2 linked regions of the Caenorhabditis elegans genome follow. The protein of the gene in region 2 purifies or fractionates together with the protein of the main gene of each other region. This does not show direct contact. Each region holds a gene or a part of one and is shown on either strand. Other genes may lie near its edges.

Evidence for each region. The genes of interacting proteins can lie anywhere in the genome.
Region 1: the proteins of vig-1 (region 2) and teg-1 purify together in Caenorhabditis elegans (affinity purification with western blotting; one study listed by BioGRID). This does not show direct contact.

Annotation. Positions count from the first base shown.
Region 1 is NC_003281.10:11,311,684-11,318,651, reverse strand, and holds teg-1 (GYF domain-containing protein), read left to right. Parts: upstream 1-1,596; 5' UTR 1,597-1,603; coding exon 1,604-1,741; intron 1,742-1,841; coding exon 1,842-2,147; intron 2,148-3,550; coding exon 3,551-3,823; intron 3,824-4,708; coding exon 4,709-4,918; intron 4,919-5,820; coding exon 5,821-5,955; 3' UTR 5,956-6,423; downstream 6,424-6,968. Other genes in the region: mcm-10 (Protein MCM10 homolog), read right to left, coding at 300-581, 721-817, 880-1,082.
Region 2 is NC_003280.10:1,319,327-1,323,596, forward strand, and holds vig-1 (Hyaluronan/mRNA-binding protein domain-containing protein), read left to right. Parts: upstream 1-1,710; 5' UTR 1,711-1,821; coding exon 1,822-1,885; intron 1,886-2,006; coding exon 2,007-2,120; intron 2,121-2,167; coding exon 2,168-2,351; intron 2,352-2,409; coding exon 2,410-2,836; intron 2,837-2,887; coding exon 2,888-3,235; 3' UTR 3,236-3,747; downstream 3,748-4,270. Other genes in the region: fcho-1 (FCH domain only protein 2), read left to right, coding at 426-652, 700-759, 803-928.

The sequences.
Region 1 (6,968 bases), on a different chromosome or scaffold from region 2:
TCTTTCAATTTTATAAATGAAAAAATCCCAAAAAGTTTGAAACTACAGTACTATTTAAAGGCGCACACCTTTTCGCATTTAACAGAAGTTTGTCGTGTCGAGACCGTAGTTTTGGAGCAAAAATCGAGAAATCCGACGAAAAATTTTAAAAGTAGGAATTTTTTAAAAACGAATTTGTAAGTTTTAGAACTATGAATTTTTTCTAAAAAATTTAATTAAACACCTAAAAAAAAATTTTTTTTTCGATGTTTTTTTTCTGAATTTTCCGAATTTTCTATTCATTTTTCCGTTCTAAAAACCTTTAAATCATGTAATTTCCAAATCAAAAAATCATTTCCATTTGCACTTTTCTTCTTGAAACCCTTTTCCACAATAACACCAATCGTGCACCATGCTTCTTTGAAATTTGACGTTGGTTTCAGATTTGATAGCTTTTCAAGCTTCATTCCAGCAGTAAATGCTCCAAAACTTGTCGCCGAAATTTTCGGATTCCGAATCGATATTTGAAATTTGTCGAATCTCACAATTCCGACGGTTACTGTGTCGGTGGATGGTTTCGTGAGCCCGGTGAGCACTGATTTCTGAAAAAAAATTTTTTTTTGGTTTTGGCGTTATTTTTTTTTTGATAAATTGTAGTTGTAATTGTTATGATTTTAAAAAATCCAAAAAAATTAAAAAATTTTGGGTTTTTCCAGATTTTTCTTCGACTTTCCACCATACTTTATTAGTTTTCCAAGCATCTGTGGCCTTTGGCCCACTCGTTGAGCTATTCTTCTCCAGATGCCGCTTTAAAAGAGCTCCTTGCTCCGTGAGCTCTCTGAAAGAAGAAAAAATTGGAGAAAATTTTGCATTTTTCGAGAAATTCGAGCTTTTCCCTACCGTTTTTTCACATAAAGCTCCTCATCATCACTATCATCATCTTCATATCGATTTTTCGAGCTAGAATCGCTGGGTTTCTCACTAGAACCTTGATTTTCGCAGGCTTCTTCCATGTTCAGAAGCCGCGGGGCTCGGTTTACAGGCTTTAGCTCCTCTTCTTCGACTCCCTCGAGCTGTGTGAGTAGGTCATCTAGGGGATCCATCTGAAAATTGAACAATTTGTGGAAAATTTCAGCGAAAATGACGGAAAATGAGAGAAAATCTGGGGAAAATCGGTGAAAAATAAATAAATAAATTTAATTTTTAAATTTTCAATTCCCGCTACCTGGAGACACTGGAAAAGTAGTCCCGGAGAAGTAGAAATTCCAGAAAAATAGGCGTGGTTTTGATTTTTTGCTGTGAATTTCACATTTAATTGATTTATAGATCAAAATCAATTTTTTCTGCACATTTAACATTGCAATAACAAAAATTCGCTTCAAATTTTAAGCCCAATGCGGCAATTCTCTGTCCTCCAAAACACCCTCCATAGCGCCCAACTCCGCAAACACCGTCACGCAAAACTGCACACAATCAAATGTTTTCGCCGAAAAATCGGTTTTCTTTTTTTCTCTCATTTTCCGCGCATAATCCCAACTTTTATTTGATTTTCGACAATTTTCCATCACCGAATGACTCAATTTTTCGCAAAAATTACGAAATTTCACTCATTTTCAGCCAAAAAATGCCGAAACGCGCCGTTTCTTTCGCCGACGACATCGAAACGAGAGTTTTTAAGCGGGATAAACGAGAAATTGAAGATGGAATATTGGATATTCCAATGGAAGAAGATGTGGTGAAGGAGAGACCAGGAAATGCGGATGTAAGTGGCTTTTTTTGCGAAAAAACCCGGGAAAAATCGAAAAAAATCGATATTTTTCAAAAAAAAATCGAAAAAATTTATTTTTTTGATATTTTTCCAGGAAGACGAAGAGGAAAAAAAGAAATTCCACACATTAGAGTCAGATGAAGAAGAAGAAGAGGATCACAAACGTCTAGATACCCGAAGAGTTGAAGGTCAAGAGGATTGTGGTGTGGATTTTGATGGATCTATTAAAATTACGGCTTTCAATATGAAAGAGGACGAGGAAGAGGGTCATTTCGATGAAACTGGAAACTTTATTTTCGATAAAAAGACAAAAGATGTTCAAGACGCGTGGTTGGATGGTATTGATTGGAGTTTAGTGAAGAAAAAGGCCGGAGATCAGTGGGAGGGCGATGAGGACAAGGTTCGACACGGGAAATGGAGGAAAAATCGAAGAAAAAATCTGATTTTTACGCGGAAATTGCCGAAAAATCGATTTAAACCTGAATTTTTCATTTTTAAATTTGAAAAATACGGTTTTACGCACTAAAATCGGAGGAAAATCGATCTCAGCCTGGATTTTGCGCCCTAAAATTGATAAAAGCTGGAAAAATCGATTTAAAAATAGTTTTTCTGGTTAAAAATTGAAAAAACCGAATTTTTGCACTGAAAATGGCTGGAAAATCGATTTTTACCTGACTTTTTTGCTTTAAAACTGACTGAAAACAACGGATTTTTGAGCTGAATTGGCGGAAAAATCGGTTTAAAAGTCGATTAAAAAACAAAATTTCCGAAAAAAAAAACAGGATTTTTGCATTAAAAATGGCTGGAAAATCGATTTTCACTTGTATTGTTCAAAAAAATCCTGAATGCTTGAAATTCAGAGAAATATTGCAAAATTTCGCGGAAAACTTGATAAAATCCTCCAAATTGACGAGAATTCTCGGAAAATGTAGCAGAATTTTAAAAATCCGAAGAAAATTCCAAATTTTTCACGATTTTTCGATTAAAAAAGTTTCAAAATGTGTCAGGGGTGGGCGGCATACGATTTTTTCCGGCAAATCGGCAAATTGCGGGAATCGAAAACTTCCGGCAAATTGTCGGAAATAAAAATTTCTGGCAAATTGGCAATTTGGCGGAAATAAAAATTTCTGGCAAATTGCCGGAATTGCCGGAATTGAAAACCCGGCAAATTGGCAATTTGGCGGAAATAAAAATTTCCGGCAAATCGGCAAACTGTCGGAAATAAAAATTTCCGGCAAATTGCCGGAATTGAAAACCCGGGAAATTGGCAATTTGGCGGAAAAAAAATTTCTGGCAAATTGCCGGAATTGCCGGAATTGAAAACCCGGCAAATTGGCAATTTGGCGGAAAAAAAAATTTCTGGCAAATTGCCGGAATTGCCGGAATTGAAAACCCGGCAAATTGGCAATTTGGCGGAAAAAAAAAATTTCTGGCAAATTGCCGGAATTGCCGGAATTGAAAACCCGGGATATTGGCAATTTGGCGGAAAAAAAATTTCCGGCAAATCGGCAAACTGTCGGAAATAAAAATTTCCGGCAAATTGGCAGATTGTCGGAATAAAAATTTCCTGCAAATTGGCTAATTGGCGGAAATAAAAATTTCTGGCAAATTGCCGGAATTGCCGGAATTGAAAACCTGGGAAATTGGTAAATTGGCGGAAATAAAATTTCTGGCAAATTGCCGGATTTGCCGGAATTGAAAACCCGGTAAATTGGCAATTTGGCGGAAATAAAAATTTCCGGTAAACCGACAATTGCCGCCCACCCCCCTGATTTCAATATAAAAATTCCTCAAAATTTCCAGAAATCCTTGGAAGACGAAGAGCCGGAGCCAATTACAATGAGTGATGCACGAAAAAAAGAAATTTTCGAGCAACTTGTCAACCTCCTGAAACCCAATCAAACAGTGGCTAAAGCTCTTTCAGAGCTCAAAAAGAAGAAAGGATTAAGTGCTGCTGAAGAACGGAAACTTCGTTGGGCCGCCAAAAAAGCCGGAAAATCATTTGAGCCAACTGATGGGCAGAAGGAAACTTCACAGCTCTCTGGGCTCGCTGATGAACTCATTTCTGCTGGAATTGTTCGTTTTTCACAGCTTAAAGTTCCAGAAAATTCATGCTACGCTCAATTTTTTGAAACGAAATTCATAAAAAACCCGCGCGAATGTCGAAAAAATTGCCAATTTTTAGCCAAAAATCGAAAAAAATTCAATTTTTGCAAGATTTAGACCGGTTTTAATTTAATTCGTTTGTGAAAAATGCGATTTTTTCACAAAATTCGCGCTGAAAAAAACTGGCAGAGTGCAGATTTGCCGAAATTATTCAAATCCGGCAAAGTGCCGTTTTGCCGGAAATGTTCATTTTTGGGAAATTGCAGATTTGCCCAAATTATTCAAATCCGGCAAAGTGCAGATTTGCCGGAAATGTTAATTTTTGGGAAATTGCAGATTTGCCCAAATTATTCAAATCCGGCAAAGTGCAGATTTGCCGAATATATTCAAATCCGGCAAATTGCCGGTTTGCCGAAAATATTACAATCCGGCAAACTGCAGATTTGCCGAAAATATTCAAATCCGGCAATTTACCGATTTGCCGAAAATATTACAATCCGGCAAATTGGCGATTTGCCGAAAATATTTTTCTTTAACCCGAAAATTTAGATTATTTTTCTTTTAGATCAATTTCTTCCGGTGTTTTGATGAAAAATGACAATTTTCAGCTAAAATCTGAAAAAATTCGGATTTTTCCAATTTAAAATACTTTTTTTTTTCAGTGAAAAACGTAAAAATAGCGCGCATTTTCATTGCGAAAACCTATATTTTTTCACAAAATTTTGGTGAAAAACATCAAAAATAGCGAAAAATGAGCATTTTTGTTAAAAAAGTTAAAAAATTTCGATAAAAAATATGAAAAATTCCAAATTTTGGCCAAAAAACTCAAAAAAAAAATCAGAATTTTAATTCCAGATGGACGCCTACGAATGGCATCGTGAGAAATTCAATTTCCAATTGCAAAAAATGATAAGTACAGCCGCTGATGAGTTGGATATGTTCTCTGATGAGCCAACTTCAACTGGAGCAGCAAGAGCAGCAGGAGCTCCAATGGAGCAAGAAGAAGAAGAAGCAGATGATAGTGTTAAATGGGAATATAAGGCTAATGAAGAGGCGAAAATTGAGGTAGAATAGTGGGAAATTCTACGACAAATTTGATATTTGAAAAGAAAATACTGGAAAAAATCCCAATTTTTACTGATTTCAGAGGAAAAAAAATAATTTTTTCAGTGAAACAAACTAGAATTAGCCAATTTTCTGCAATTTTGAGCAAGAAAATTGCAGAAAATATGGAAAAATCTACACATTTTCATATTTTTAAAGTAAGAAAATTACCAAAAAAAAAAAAAAAAAAAGTAAAAAAAAGAATTTTTTTGAATAAAAATCGGATAAACTTGGTTTTTGAACTTAAACATATTTATTCGGAAAATTCTCGAAAATTTTCAATTTTATTGCATTTTTAGAAGAAAAACATTAAAAATTATCTGAAAATTCACAATTCAGTCAAGACAAAGTCAAAATGCCTGAATTTTTGGTAATTTTGAGTTGAAAAATTGTTGAAAAATTGTCGGAAATTCTCGATTTTATACCGAAAAATCCTAATTTTTCAGCGAAAAAACGGACGATTTTGGCGAAATTCGTGTTAACAAAATAGTTTTTTTTTTTTTAAATGAAGAATTGATTTTTTTAAACCAATTTTTTGGGATATAATCAGAATAGCCTATTTTTAGCAAAAACTTTGAACATTTCCATGAAAATTTGGTGAAAAATGTCAAAAATAGCCAATTTTTATCCAGAAATCGAAAAAATTCAATTTTTGTTAGGTTTAGACCCGTTTTAATCGAAATAGTTTTTTCTTATTAAAATTCACGCTGAAAAATCCGGCAAATCGCCGGTTTGCCGAAAATGTGTTCGAAAAATAAATTAAAATATGTCAAAAAAATTTCAAAAATTTTTTTTTGAAAATTCTGAAATTTTTTTTAATGAAAAAAAGTCTCAAAAAAAGTAAAAATTTTTTCCAATTCCAGGGCCCGATTCCGACTTCAGAAATGATGGATCGCCAATCAAAAGGACTTCTTTCGGCAGAAGGTGTTGCCAGACGTTCTGGAACAAATGGACATTTTAATCCAGTTGCCAGAATTGATTTCGAGCTTTATTTGTAAAAACTCTCCTAAAAAACCTCTCCTCCTCCTCCCCTGAATTTTAGCAATTATATGATTCATATTTCATTTTTTTTTGTTTCATTTTCATTTTTTCCCCCATTTTTTTTTGTTTCTCTGAATCTCGTTTTCACTCTCTATCTCTCTCTCATCACTTAGAACACACATTCATTTCTCTCACTTTTTCCGCCTGAAAACAGCTGAAAAAAAGTCGGAAAAATGATTCGGTGCCGAAAACTTTTCAAATACCGAAAACTCGCTATTCAACATGATATTTATCACAGTTCCGATGACATTTCTCGAGGTTTTTTCAATTTTTTTTTGTAAATTAAATTTTTTTTTTCCCGTTTTTTTTTTGCCCTTTTTGGTCCTAAAATTGCATTTTTTTTCAAGTTTTTAACTTGAAAATTCATTTTTTTGGCCTATTTTCGCCCCTAAAACTGCACTGTATTATATAAAATCCCCAATTTTTTCCTTTTTTAAAAAAGCTTTTTTTTTTAAGATTTTACGGTTCCAAAAGCCGCTAAGTTTCTGCTGAATTTTCTGGGAAATTTCTAGATTTTACATTAAAAAACAAATTTTTTTTAAAATTCTAAATTTTAAACTTCGCTAAATTTCTAAATTTTGGTGTAAAAAATTAGAAGACAAATTTTTTTTTAACCGGTCATTTTCCGAAAATGAAACCTCTGGTAATTTGCCGGTTTGAATATTTCCGGCAAATCGATAAATTGCCGGATTTTAATATTTCCGGCAAATCGATAAATTGCCGGATTTTAGTATTTCCGGCAAATCTACAGTTTGCCGGTTTGAATATTTTCGGCAAATCTGCAACTTGCCGGATTTGAATATTTCCGGCAAATCGATAAATTGCCGGATTTTAATATTTCCGGCAAATCTGCAATTTGCCGGATTTGAATATTTCCGGCAAATCGGTAAATTGCCGGAAAATCCAGTTTTTTGCCGGAATTGAAAATATTTTTTAAAAAATTTTCAAGTGTAATTTTTATTTCATTTTA
Region 2 (4,270 bases):
AGCAGACCAAAATTTATTAAAAACTGCAGAAAATTGATGGGTCTGCTAATTAAGAGTTTGTAGTTTGTAGTCTAGCAGACCAAAATTTATTAAAAACTGCAGAAAATTGATAGGTCTGCTAAATTTGATTTTGTAGTTTGTAGTGTAGCAGACCAAAATTTATTAAAAACTGCAGAAAATTGATGGGTCTGCTAATTAAGAGTTTGTAGTTTGTAGTCTAGCAGACCAAAATTTATTAAAAACTGCAGAAAATTGATAGGTCTGCTAAATTTGATTTTGTAGTTTGTAGTGTAGCAGACCCAAATTTTTTATTGAAATTGGCAAAATTGCTGAGTCTGCTAAATAAAATTGAGTTTTTTGTAGTACTTTTTAAATGCAAACGCCAAAAATAAAGCCTAATAATAAAAATCCGCATTTCTTTTCAGATCTCCGTGTCGACTATCGCCTCAACTCAGAATCTTCCATCTCGGCGCCACTTCTCAACGTGAATTTCAGCACAAATTTGACGGGAAGCGTGGATTCTGTGATGTGTGAGCCAGAAGCCAAATGGGTGGCTGGAAATCCGTCACTCGGCTGGAATTTGCTGGAAATTTCAAGAAATGGAGATGTGCACGGATCGCTGAAAGCAAGGATATTTATGAAGAATTCTGGGGTCGGGCTTTTTAATTGCTTTAAAATAAAAAATATATAATTTTCCAGGACGAAGTAAGCTTGGAAATGCTCGATCGGAAGCCGGCGCAGGTCTTCGTGCAATTTCAGGTACTAAAAACTGAAATTTAAGCTCTTAATTTATCTTTTTCAGTGCCTGGAAGCCAATCTATCTGGAGTGGACATTTCCCTAGTGCAATCGGATATTTATCACCTGTCTATGATTCGTAAAAAGGTGCTCGCTGGTAAATATTTTTGTGATCCCGAGCTGCGGAAATAGAGAAGATGAAGAGCTTTTTAATTTGATTTTTGTTTTAATTTTTCTGTGTAAATATAGCATAATTCTCGCGAAATCTGTGATTTTAACAAACTTTCAACTTCTAGTTTTCCAATTTTTCACCACCAAACGAGTTTTTCCACTATTATTCGTTATCCCCCGCTGTAATAAATACTTTTTCCCGGCATTTTTACTTTTTTTACACACATTTTGGGCTGGAAATGTCATAAATTTCTTTTCAAATACTTTAAGACAACAAAAACAATTGGAAAACAAGTTTTCCCCCAACCAAAAATTGATTGAAAATGGCCGAGGACTAGTTTTCGATTTCAAACTGCCGCCCATTTCGGCGGTCGCATTTGGCTGCGTAGCGGCTCGCAAACGCCAGTTTACACTATTGTGATACGCAGCCAAACCTTCACCTGTCCGATTTGAACAGTTTTTCCGATTTTTTTTGACCGTTTTCGCCGGTTTTTTGTAATTTTTTGGGTTGCTAGCAGTAAATCACCGATTTTTGATCAAAATTGCACTGAAAAATGTTTATTTTATTCCGAAATAGTGGATTTTGAGCAATTGTTGATTTTCTGACTTTTGATTCGATTTCTTTCTGGAACATTCAAAAATTCCCTTAAGAAAATGCAATTTGCTTTTTTTATTTTTTGATTTTAGTTGTGAAAAGTGCTTAACTGATTTAAAATATCGCAACGGTGTCTGGCTAATTATACTCTTTTCTTAAATATCGATTTTTGTTTGAAAATTTGAAATCTAAACTAACGTTCTTGCAGGTATCCCCATATTATGGGTTATTGATTAACTTGGCATTGAAATTATTGAATTGAACAGAAGCTTCCTGCACTTGGAATCTTATCTTCATCGAATCAACACAAACAGCAAAAATGAGCACTGAATACGGTTGCCAGGTCACCAACAAGTTCGGTCTTCCATCCGACGACGACGATGGTGAGTGGTTGATGATGATGATCGCCGGATGATTATCTTATCTTCCCGATGGGATATTGCGCAATATTCATATGCGATATACTCCGCCCAGAAGACATTATAAAAAATCGATAATTTGCAGAGTATGACGACCCAAGAGAGCTCATCCAAAAGGTGTCTCAAATCGCCGCCAAGAAGAAGGAGGAAAAGTCTGTGAAGCCCGCCCAGCCGGTCAAGCCAGCCGCTGCTCCAGTTGGTAAGAATTGGCATTCCTATTCTTAAATTAATTAAACATTATTTCAGCCGCCACCAAAACCGACGGTGCTGCTGGACGTGGACGCGGAGGACGTGGTCGCGGACGCGGGGGAGCCGGCCGTCCACGTGACGGAGAACGTGTCTCCAACGAGAACGGTGATCGTCCACAAGGCGAGAACCGTCGTGGAGGACCCCGCAGAGGCGGTGAGCGCGGTGCTGCTCGTCCAGCTGGGTAAGAAACGCTTAAATTTTTAATTTTTTTTTTCATTTTACTGAACTTTGTATTTTAGACGTGGAGGCCGCGGAGGATTCACTCGCGAGAACAGAGAAGGAGAGGAGCCAAAGCAAGAGGTCTCTTTCGAAGACGGACAAGATACCCGTGCCCCAAGACGTCGTGGAGGATTCACCCTTGGAGGTGGACCATCTGGCGGACGTGGAGGAGGCCGTGGTGGACGTGGGCGTCAATTCGATCGTCAATCCGGATCCGACCGTACCGGAGTTCGCTCATTCGACAAGAAGGACGGACACGGAAAGGGCAACTGGGGAGACCAGAAGGACGAGTTGGCTGGAGAAACCGAGAACATTGCTCCAGAGGGCGCTGAGAGCACCGAGCCAGAGGTTCCACGTGAGAAGACCGCTGAGGAGCTCGCCTACGAGGCTGAGTTGGCTGTTCTTGCCAAGCAAAAGACTCTTAAGGAGTTCAAGGCTGCGGCTAAGGTGAGTCGTATAAAATATTAGTTTTGGAATTTATTTTTTTTTTTGTTTCAGGCTGACGCTCCAAAGTTCAACACCAGAAAGGCCGGAGAGGGAGCCGCCGATACTTTTGGCAAGCTCGTTCCAATCAAGAAGGAGGTCATCCCAGATCGTGAGGAAGACGAGGTCGTCGTAATCCACAAGGCTCCAAGAAAGCAAGTGCTCGACATTTCGATCACTTTCCGCAACGATCGTCCAGAACGCGAGCGCAACGACCGTTCTGAGAGGCCGCAACGTGGAGGACCAAGAGGAGGTGGACGCGGTGGAGGCCGTGGAGGACAACGTCAAGGAGGTCATGGAGGACGCAACAACACTCCATTCAACGCTTCTGACGATGCTTTCCCAGCTCTCGGTGCCAAGTAATTCCCCCCCCCCCACTCAACGACCTTCAGCCAACCAACCAATTCGCCCGCCCTCATTCAAATGCTCTGTTCTTCTCTCCATCTTGTTTTCTTCAAAATTCTCCTCTTTTCAATATCTTTGCCTGTGCCCATCTACCCCACAAATTGTTCGTTTCCAAAATGCCTGTTTCTTATTTTTCTTTTTTTTCTAGTTCCCCCATTTAGCTTGTTGTTGTTATCACCTGCCTTATCGATCTCTCTTCTGATGAGTTGCCCTCGATTTGGTTTGCTTGTTATCTCCCGTTTTTTCTTTAATTTTTAAGCCCTTTGAATCCCTTGATCTTCCACATACACCCACCAAGACGACCTCTTCTTTACCAAATATTTGACACAACAAAAGGTCTCAATTGTGTCAAGGATCAACGAACTAGTACTAGGAAACTCAATTTGTGCCCCTTCCAACCACCACCCCATTGCGCCCAGGTTTCGTTTTAATTGGAGTTTGTTGTTAACAAGATTTGATAAAGCATCATTTTTGTGTTAAACACCCCAATCATTCTATATCACACACACACACAAACACCCATTTTTCTTCTTTTTGCCTCCACACACCCCCCCCCCCCCCCCCCACCCAACTGTATCCGTATTTTGTAATAAAACGGTCTAAACCAACCACAGGGGCGTGGCCTGACACATGCCATTTCTAGGCCGCGAGCCGAGTGCTCTGATTCTCTGCCGCCTCTTTTAGAGAGCCGCGACGTCTTCTTCAGCGGGAGAGAGGGAGCACCCCCCCCCCTCCCCATTGCTCGGCAAAAACTTTTGCTCTCCTTTCACTTCTTATTGATTTCCCTTCTGTTAGCCGCCTAAATTAGAATTTTTAATTCTTCAGATTCTCAATAGAGCGAGCTTGCGTTCGAAATAATTTAATTTTTAATTAAATCTTCCTGCGACTCTTCTCTCTTTGGAAATTGCTATTTCGCAAGTTTAGTAACGATTTTATGACAGCAGCGGCGTCCGAATTTGAAATTGAATTAGGTCCCCTGAGAAGCTTTTTAGA